Linked DNA regions of Macaca fascicularis. The protein of the gene in region 2 interacts with the protein of the main gene of each other region in a biochemical or structural test. Links are inferred from orthologs where the notes say so. Each region holds a gene or a part of one and is shown on either strand. Other genes may lie near its edges.

Region 1 (3,851 bases), on a different chromosome or scaffold from region 2:
ATCCACCCACCTTGGCCTCCCAAAGTGCTGGGATTACAGGCATGAGCCACCGTGTCGAGCCTATTTACTTAGTTTTTTAAAAGGAAAACATGTTTTAAAAATGTAAGCAGTTTTCCAACACTGGCACTCCACAAGTGTTTTAAGTGACAGATCATTGCCGTGTGTCTCCTGATACCCAGGCCAGTCTGCTGGGGCACCATGCTGAGAACTGCTGTGAACCTGGGGCTTCAACCCCACTAGAAGGGGGCCTTCTTTTTCTTTAGAGTCTGAAATGAAGGGTGCCGGGCAGCTCTTGGGGAAGTTTCTGCTTTATCACCTTACTCCTGTCCCTTAATGCCGTCCCAGCCTTCAGGAATGGAGCTTTTGATCTGAGTCTGCAGCCTGATTCCTGAAAGTTATTGATCGAGCGCCCTTGCCAGCATCTCTGTCTCTGGTGCCTCTGCCTCACAGGCTCTCTATCTCCCACGTCAAGACACAGAAGTCTAAAACCTCTGTCCAGTGTCTTGGTCAAAAAATCGAGCTGGAGCTAGGCACTCCTCCCATCATAGCCCATAGCGGACACGGGGCTTAGCAGGCCAAGGGCACTCCTGCCTGACAAACCCAGGATCCTCTCTTCTCAAAGCCTGTCTTAGAATGCAGCTGGTGGTCTAGAAATTGAGAGACAGAGTACAGAGTAAACCCCTGTCTTTCCTCCACCTCCGCCTGCAGAGAAAAGAAATGCTGGGAATGCAGTACGGAGCGCCATGAAGTCCGAGGAACAGAAGATCAAAGACGCCAGGAGAGGTCCCCTGGCACCTTTTCCAAACCAAAAATCTGAAGCAGCAGAACCTCCAAAAACTCCACCCTCATCTTGTGATTCCACCAATGCAGCCATCACCAAGCAAGCCCTGAAAAAGCCCATCAAGGGCAAACAGGCGCCCCGAAAAAAGTAAGTGTCCCCTTCAGTCCTCTTCCTAACGTGGAGCAGTTTGGTTCCTCTGACCCCAGGGAAGCCTGCTCAGGTGCCCGTGGGGGTACAGTGGCCACCTCTCAGCCTCTCTTACGTCAAAGACTCAGATGCCCCGAGTTATCAGCAGGGATGCCACTGTTTGTCAGTTTCTGGATCTGGCATGGGTTCAGAGTTCAAGAGCCTCTCCTTCCTCCCCTCCTCACCCACCCCAGCATAAGCAGCCCTTCTTTTTTATTTTTTTTTATTTTTTTATTTTTTATTTATTTATTTTTTTTGAGACGGAGTCTCGCTCTGTCGTCCGGGCTGGAGTGCAGTGGCCGGATCTCAGCTCACTGCAAGCTCCGCCTCCCGGGTTTACGCCATTCTCCTGCCTCAGCCTCCTGAATAGCTGGGACTACAGGCGCCTGCCACCTCGCCCGGCTAGTTTTTTGTATTTTTTTTAGTAGAGACGGGGTTTCACCGTGTTAGCCAGGATGGTCTCGATCTCCTGACCTCGTGATCCGCCCGCCTCGGCCTCCCAGAGTCCTGGGATTACAGGCTTGAGCCACCGCGCCCGGCCAGCCCTTCTTTTTTAAATTTATTTTTTTGTTTGTTTTTTTGGTGGTTGGTGTTTTTTTGTTGTTGTTTTGTTTTTTTTTTTTTGAGACAGAGTCTCTGTCGCCCAGGTTGGAGTGCAGTAGTGCAATCTCGGCTCACTGCAGACTCCACCTCCTGTGTTCAAGCAATTCTCCTGCCTCAGCCTCCTGAGTAGCTGGGATTACAGGTGCGTGCCACCACGCCCTGCTTATTTTTGTATTTTTATTGGAGACGGGGTTTCACCATGTTGGTCAGGCTGGTCTCAAACTCCTGACCTCGTGATTTGCCTGCCTCAGCCTCCCAAAGTGCTGGGATTACAGGTGTGAGCCACCATACCTGACTTGTGTTTTTTGAGATGTGGTCTCATTCTATCATCTAGGCTGGAGTGCAGTAACTCACTGCAGCCTCAATCTCTTGGGACTAAGTGATCCTCCTACTTCAGCCTCCCGAGCAATTGGGACCATAGGTGTGCACCACTATGCCTGGCTAATTTCTTTCCTTTTTTCAGAGACGGGGTTTTGCTGTGTTGCCTGGGTTGGTCTCGAACTCCTGGGCTCAAGTGATCCTCCCGCCTCAGCCTCCCAGAGCATTGGGCTTACAGGCGTGAGCCACTGCGCCCAGCCAGCAGCCTGTCTTTGAAACTCCTCTGAGGCCCTCATGGGCAGGTGAACTGAGTGACCCACAGGCTCCAGTGGACAAAGGTGTTTAAGTGACATCATCTCCAAGGAGCTGTGTGCCTCCTTGGTGTGTGCCTTCTCCTAAGGAGCTGTGTGCCTCTAGGTTTTCAGTCCTGATATTTATTTTCTCCTCTTCCCCTTACCCAGAGCTCAAGGAAAAACGCAACAGAACCGCAAACTTACGGATTTCTACCCTGTCCGAAGGAGCTCCAGGAAGAGCAAAGCCGAGCTGCAGGTAGTTGCGTGCTTTAAATTCCAGTTCGTGGAGGGGCAGGGTGGCCCACTGGGCAGTGCTTGGCATGTGTGTGTGTGTGTCCTGAGCTTTGTTTTCATCAGCTTGAGGCAAGTCTCTTGGCCCTCTGGACTTGGTTTTCTCCTGGATCTATCGGGGATCCTCACAAAGCTTGTCCTGCCTTTCTGATAGGGTCACTGCAGGGCTTGGTTAAGATACTTGTGTGAAGGAACCTTGTGACTTGTGGCATGTGGCAGGGAAAGCCTGGCGCAACTGTGAAGGTGGATTTTCCAGGACTTGTTGGCAGAGCCATTGGGAGCCTGGGACTGTGGGAAAGCCTGCCTGTTCTTTCAGAGGCTTTTCTTATCTGTTTGCTGGAAGTTTCCATGTTGTGGCCCAGGATGGTAAAGAGCAGTGGCTTGGAGCCACTTGCTGGTTGCGTAGCCTCGGGCCAGTCACTTACCCTGTCCATGCCTTGGCTCTCCAGTCTGTAAAATGGTACAATAACGTAGTACCTGCTAGGACTGTGGTGAGCATTCAGTAAATGTGCGGGTGCAAGAGGAACCTTCAGAACCATGCTTGACACTCAGTAAGTGCCAGCTAACTGTTACTATCGCCACCACTGCTTCCTCAGCGTTGTCACTCCTGTCTGGTCTTTCCCATGCTACTGCCATGCTAGGAGCCTGCAGACCAGTGAGCAGCACCGGCTGGCAGGCCGGCTGGCCTGTGCGGGCCTCTGCTGCCTTTTTGCAGAGGGCTGAGCTATGCAGCAGGCAGTCAATATTTGCTGCAGTGAGGTGTGGTTATTGCTTTTCTGTGAAGGAAACCCAGGGCGTGGCAGGTCCCTCTGCTCTTCCCCCTCAGGGACACCTGGGGCTGCCCCTCCGCTCTCCTTCACCCCCACAGTGACCACCAGGTTGGGAGAGGCACTCAAGATTGCATCCTACACAGAGGTGGGGACCCCAGCTTTGGCAGTTTCAGCATTTCAACCCTCATGCAGACTCCTTCAGTGTTCTTGATGTTAAATGTTCAGATACACAGTGGTCTAGTATTCTTTCTCTTTTTCTTTTAATTGATGAAGCTTCATTAAAAAAAAAAAAAAAAGTCAATTTTCTTCCCCACAGAGAGCAGCTTTGGTTTTATTGCCTGAAAAAGGCAATGTCTTTCAGCCGAGAATGAGCTGTTTAAAACATTTGCGGCAGTGGGAGACTGTGCTAGGTCACTTTTTTTTTTTTGAGATGGTGTTTTGCTCTTGTTGCCCAGGCTGGAGTGCAGTGGCATGATCTCGACTCACCACAAGCTCCACCTGTTGGGTTCAAGCGATTCTCCTGTCTCAGCCTCCTGAGTAGCTGGGACTATAGGTGTTTGCCGCCACACCTGGCTAATTTTGTATTTTTTTTCTTTTAGTAGAGACCGG
Region 2 (4,406 bases):
AAAAGCTTTTATAAGAGCCTGAGAAACTCTTATTTAGACTAACCCACTAAAAATATTCACAGTTTAAAAAATAAACGGAAAAAGAGTCCCAAAAACGTTAATAGACATATCCAACTCAGAAAACTGGGAAGTGGCTCAAAGGGGACTTAAACAGAGATCCTTCTGAGTTCTAGTCCTGTTCTCCAACATTATATATTGGCTACGATTAATCAAGATTTAATTGTATACCAGCTGCCGAAATGTTTCCCGTACAATAAAAATCCTTAATATGAAACAGGTTTCATATCACCAGTCGAGTTCTTTACTGACAAATTTCCGACCTTGCGTCCCAAATCCATATCTATATCTCTTCAGCATTTACTAAATGCTTCTTTCGCATATCATTAAGTCACTTAATACAACAATTCTGCCAGCTCAATGGTACTGTACCCACTTGGTAGACGACAAACCGAGGCTAGATGAAATTAATCATAAAATTAGCGGCACTGAAATTTAACTCAGTGCAACCCCAAAGCTCCTTCTACACCAAACTGCTCCCTGTAAGCAAGGAAACAGAACTCCTGGAACTTGTCCGCAGAGAATGAGCAGGGCTTTTTGCATGGTCTCGGCCATGGTTAGCCTGCCTTGTAACCCGCAGGTAACAGAGCTACGGAAATCAAATGAATCGCTGTCAAGTCGGTGCAAGACAACTATTCAGCACATTTCATGATGACCTGGTCTCAAATGAACAGACTGAAAACCAATTTCAGAATTTCTTTGTAGTGTTTCTTAGAAACCAGCCACTGTCCACTGCTTAGAAAATAGGGGGCTGTTCCCTCAAGTGGTCAAAACGGGCCTCTCACTAGAGCTCGCCACTTGTTTAGCCGGTTAAGGCCAAACAATCCTGCAAATTTCCCGCAACCTCCCGAAGGGGTCAAAGCCCACGCCCCAGCAAAAGCACAGGCACTCCCCGCCCAGCGAAGATAGGCGCATGCGCCTACCCGTCCTCTGAAGCTACCACCACGTGGTGGCGCCACTTCCCCCCACGCCCGTTTCACCCATTCAGCCCGCTCTTTCGAATACCTTTGTCCAACTCCATAAGGGCAGAGTTGGCATCCAGTTCCTGTTCGCCATAGCCGGCATCTGCCAGGAAAGACTTAGTTGAGTTTGACGCCATGACCCGAATAGTTACTCGACTAGCCTAGTCAGAAAGATTGCAAACTCTACCCCAGAACCGCCATCTTCTCCCGCCGCCTTCTTGTTGGTTTTTCCTCCGCGCGCTGTCAAGCCCTGTTACGCATGCGCCCTGGTCACCCCGCGGTTCGCAGTCGCCTCTGCTGCCCTCTGCGCAGGCGCTCAAGGAGCTCTTGGACTCCAGGTTCCCGCGGCTGGGAGAAAAGGAGGCGGGGATCCGAAGGGGGAAATGACTCTGAGGCGCCCGGACGTCGCTCGGAAGCCAATCAGAGAGCGTGACGTCAGTTTGGCGCGGAGTTTGGCGGCCGGGGCTTACAGTGGCGGGAGTTGGAGGCGATAACGATTTGTGTTGTGAGAGGCGCAAGCTGCGATTTTTGCTGAACTTGGAGGCATTTCTACGACTTTTCTCTCAGCTGAGCCTTTTCCTCCGGCCCTGATGCTCTTCAATTCGGTGCTTCGCCAGCCCCAGCTTGGCGTCCTGAGAAATGGTGAGTAACGGTCCCAACCGCTGCTCGGGGCTGGCGGGATTCATCTACCCCGAAACACACGCCACCTCCGACCAGGGCCGACTCCAATTCTGAACTCAGCTTCTGAGTTCTCCCATGGCAAGGGTAAATTAGTGTTAGCTGGGACTACTGAAGAAAACTGTGCTTTCATCTCCTCGGAACACTTGTAATCGTAATCGGACTTTTAAAATCGTACGTAGGCATGGACGTCGAAATAACTGCCTTCCAAGGCCTCTTACAGCTTACATCTCCATTGCGCGTTAACGGGAAAATGCATGCATTTGTGTGTATATGTTTCTCTCAACAGTTATTTGAGATGGTCAAAACTCATACTCATTGATTTATTCATTCGTTTGTTGTAGAATCTTAGTGAGCCCAGCTATTTGCTATGGGTATATACCAGTGAATATGACCCACTGTTAAGGAACTCAGTCAAGCAGAGAAGACAGGATATCTGCTTCTAACAGGATCAAAATCTTTTTTTTCCCGTTTACTACATGGTCATAAACATTTAGAGTGAAAGATGCTTGTAACCACATCCGCCAGAGATGACCCCTGTTAATAGATTGAAGTATATTATTCCAGATGTTTTCGACGCTAGAGGTAATATCTATTATTTTCAGAAATGGGATCAAAATGTCCTGTTTTTTCACTTTAATGGTATAAGTTGAACGTATTCCCATGTTAATATGTAGAAATCTAACTTTCTTACGCTAAAACATTGGCAATAAGAGATTTGAGGCTAGGTTTGGGTGTCATCAACTTAAACTTCTTGGTAAGTTTCTGATAAGGATGGTAAGTAGGCAGACTAACCTTGGACAGAAATAAAATCTCACTCATGTGAACATCGACTATAGCCAGAGGTTCTTTTTCCTCTTGAAACCATGTGGAAAAGGAACCTGAGAAGGGAATTTTTATGTTCAGGGATGAGTCTAGGAAAATAATATTGAGAAAGAGACTGAGAAGTAGTCCCTCAACTTCCTGCTAGCAATCTGAAACTTTATACCATTCTTATTTCTTTCCCTCATAGATAATCTTTGTAATTATACTCTAAATGCTCCTCTTTCTCTTCTGGGACTTTGTTTGACTTACTTCTCTGTCCTCTGTTTAAGAGTGACAGTATGCACAGTGCTACCTGGGTTTTATTATACCTCCACACCTTACTATATGTGTGTCCTGGGGGAGCTGTTCAGACTGTTTTGTGACAGATTTTCTCCTAATTCTCCATGTGTTTACCTTTCCCTTCCCTCTTTCCTGTTCACAAGTACTCATTCGTTGTTACACAATAGACACTGAAATTCATTCACTATTATATGTTACCCACTGAAATCTATAGAATCATCTCCTTTCCTCTTCAGTGTTGGTGTTCCCTCCTTGGCCCCTTTTCTTCTTCTTCCTACTCCTTTGGATGATCACAGCCATAACCAGGGCTTCTTCCACTTCTATGTACATACAACTTTCTATTTCTTATATGGTAAGTTCTCACTTAATGTCTAGATAGGCTCTTGGAAACTGTGACTTTAGGGAAAACAATGTATAACTAAACCAACTCTACCATAGGCTACTTGATATAAACAAGAATTAAGTTCCAGTGGCATATTTTGGTCATACAAACACCACTGAACTTCTAAATAAAGACCCAAAACACTTTTAATATTAAATGTTGAAATAATTGTGTGCTATACATACATTTGAGAAAGATTAATAAAAACAAGTGAGATAATTATTTACCCAAGTTTGGCGTATCAGTGAGTGACCTCGGTCGTAGTAGTGGTGGGCTAAATCAAGGAATAAATGTTTGCAAACTGAAAATTGGAGCACCTCCTACAACCACCCAGTTCAAAAACAATCACAAATATGGCAGCTCACTGAGCCCTTTCATACCAAATCGTTTATTGTCATTCATTTGTATGATTATTGTAAAGTTTACCATTTTTATTATATAATTATTTGTATTCATTCATTTTCTGACACACTTATTCCAGCTCAGGACTGTGGGTGCCCGGAGCCTATCCTGGCAGCTCATGGTACAAGCTGGAAACCAGCTCTAGACCGGACGCTATTTCATCACAGGAAGCACTCACACACACCCATTGTCTATTGGGACCATGTAGACATGCCAGTGAATCTAACATACCCATCTTTGGCATGTGGGAGGAAACGAGAGTACCTGGAGAAAACCTCTGTGAACATGGGGAGAACATGTACAAACTCCACCCAGCCAGTGGCCTCAAACAGGAATTGATTTTTTTTCTCATGAACAGTATGAGGAAATGACATTGTACAAAATGATGTTATTGGAAGACTTCATGTACCTGAGATTCATTTCTGTAAAAGCTGTGTGGGTTGATTATCACGCAGACTGTCAATCCCACAAGCATCTCAAACTCAAATACCCAAAACTGAACTCAACTTCTCCCCCAAACCTGCTATATTACCAATTTTAGGGAGTGGCCTCATTATTTAAACCAGTTTTCCCAGCCAGAAACCTGAGTCAATTAAAGACTTCCTCATCTTCCTCATAGTTACACATTCAAAACATTTCGTTAAAATCTCTGTGATTATGCATCTTTACTGTATCCTGGATGTGTTCTATTTTTACCATTCCATTTCCCTAGGTTGGGCCCTAATGCCTTCTTGTCTGGATTGTAAGAAGTCTCCCAAATGGCCTCCTAGTTTATCTGTCTTCACTTTATTCTCCACATTGCTGCTAATGATCCTTCTAAA

The links.
Region 1: the proteins of DTL (region 2) and KMT5A form a complex in vitro, tested with the Homo sapiens proteins (2 studies listed by BioGRID, with this or other methods). The link is inferred for Macaca fascicularis from reciprocal best matches to the Homo sapiens genes DTL and KMT5A.

What each region holds. Positions count from the first base shown.
Region 1 is NC_088385.1:130,533,574-130,537,424, forward strand, and holds part of KMT5A (N-lysine methyltransferase KMT5A), read left to right. Parts: intron 1-708; coding exon 709-928; intron 929-2,349; coding exon 2,350-2,437; intron 2,438-3,851. UniProt on the Homo sapiens protein: Protein-lysine N-methyltransferase that monomethylates both histones and non-histone proteins. Specifically monomethylates 'Lys-20' of histone H4 (H4K20me1).
Region 2 is NC_088375.1:69,843,403-69,847,808, forward strand, and holds the start of DTL (denticleless protein homolog), read left to right. Parts: upstream 1-1,448; 5' UTR 1,449-1,609; coding exon 1,610-1,661; intron 1,662-4,406. Other genes in the region: INTS7 (integrator complex subunit 7), read right to left, coding at 1,063-1,156. UniProt on the Homo sapiens protein: Substrate-specific adapter of a DCX (DDB1-CUL4-X-box) E3 ubiquitin-protein ligase complex required for cell cycle control, DNA damage response and translesion DNA synthesis.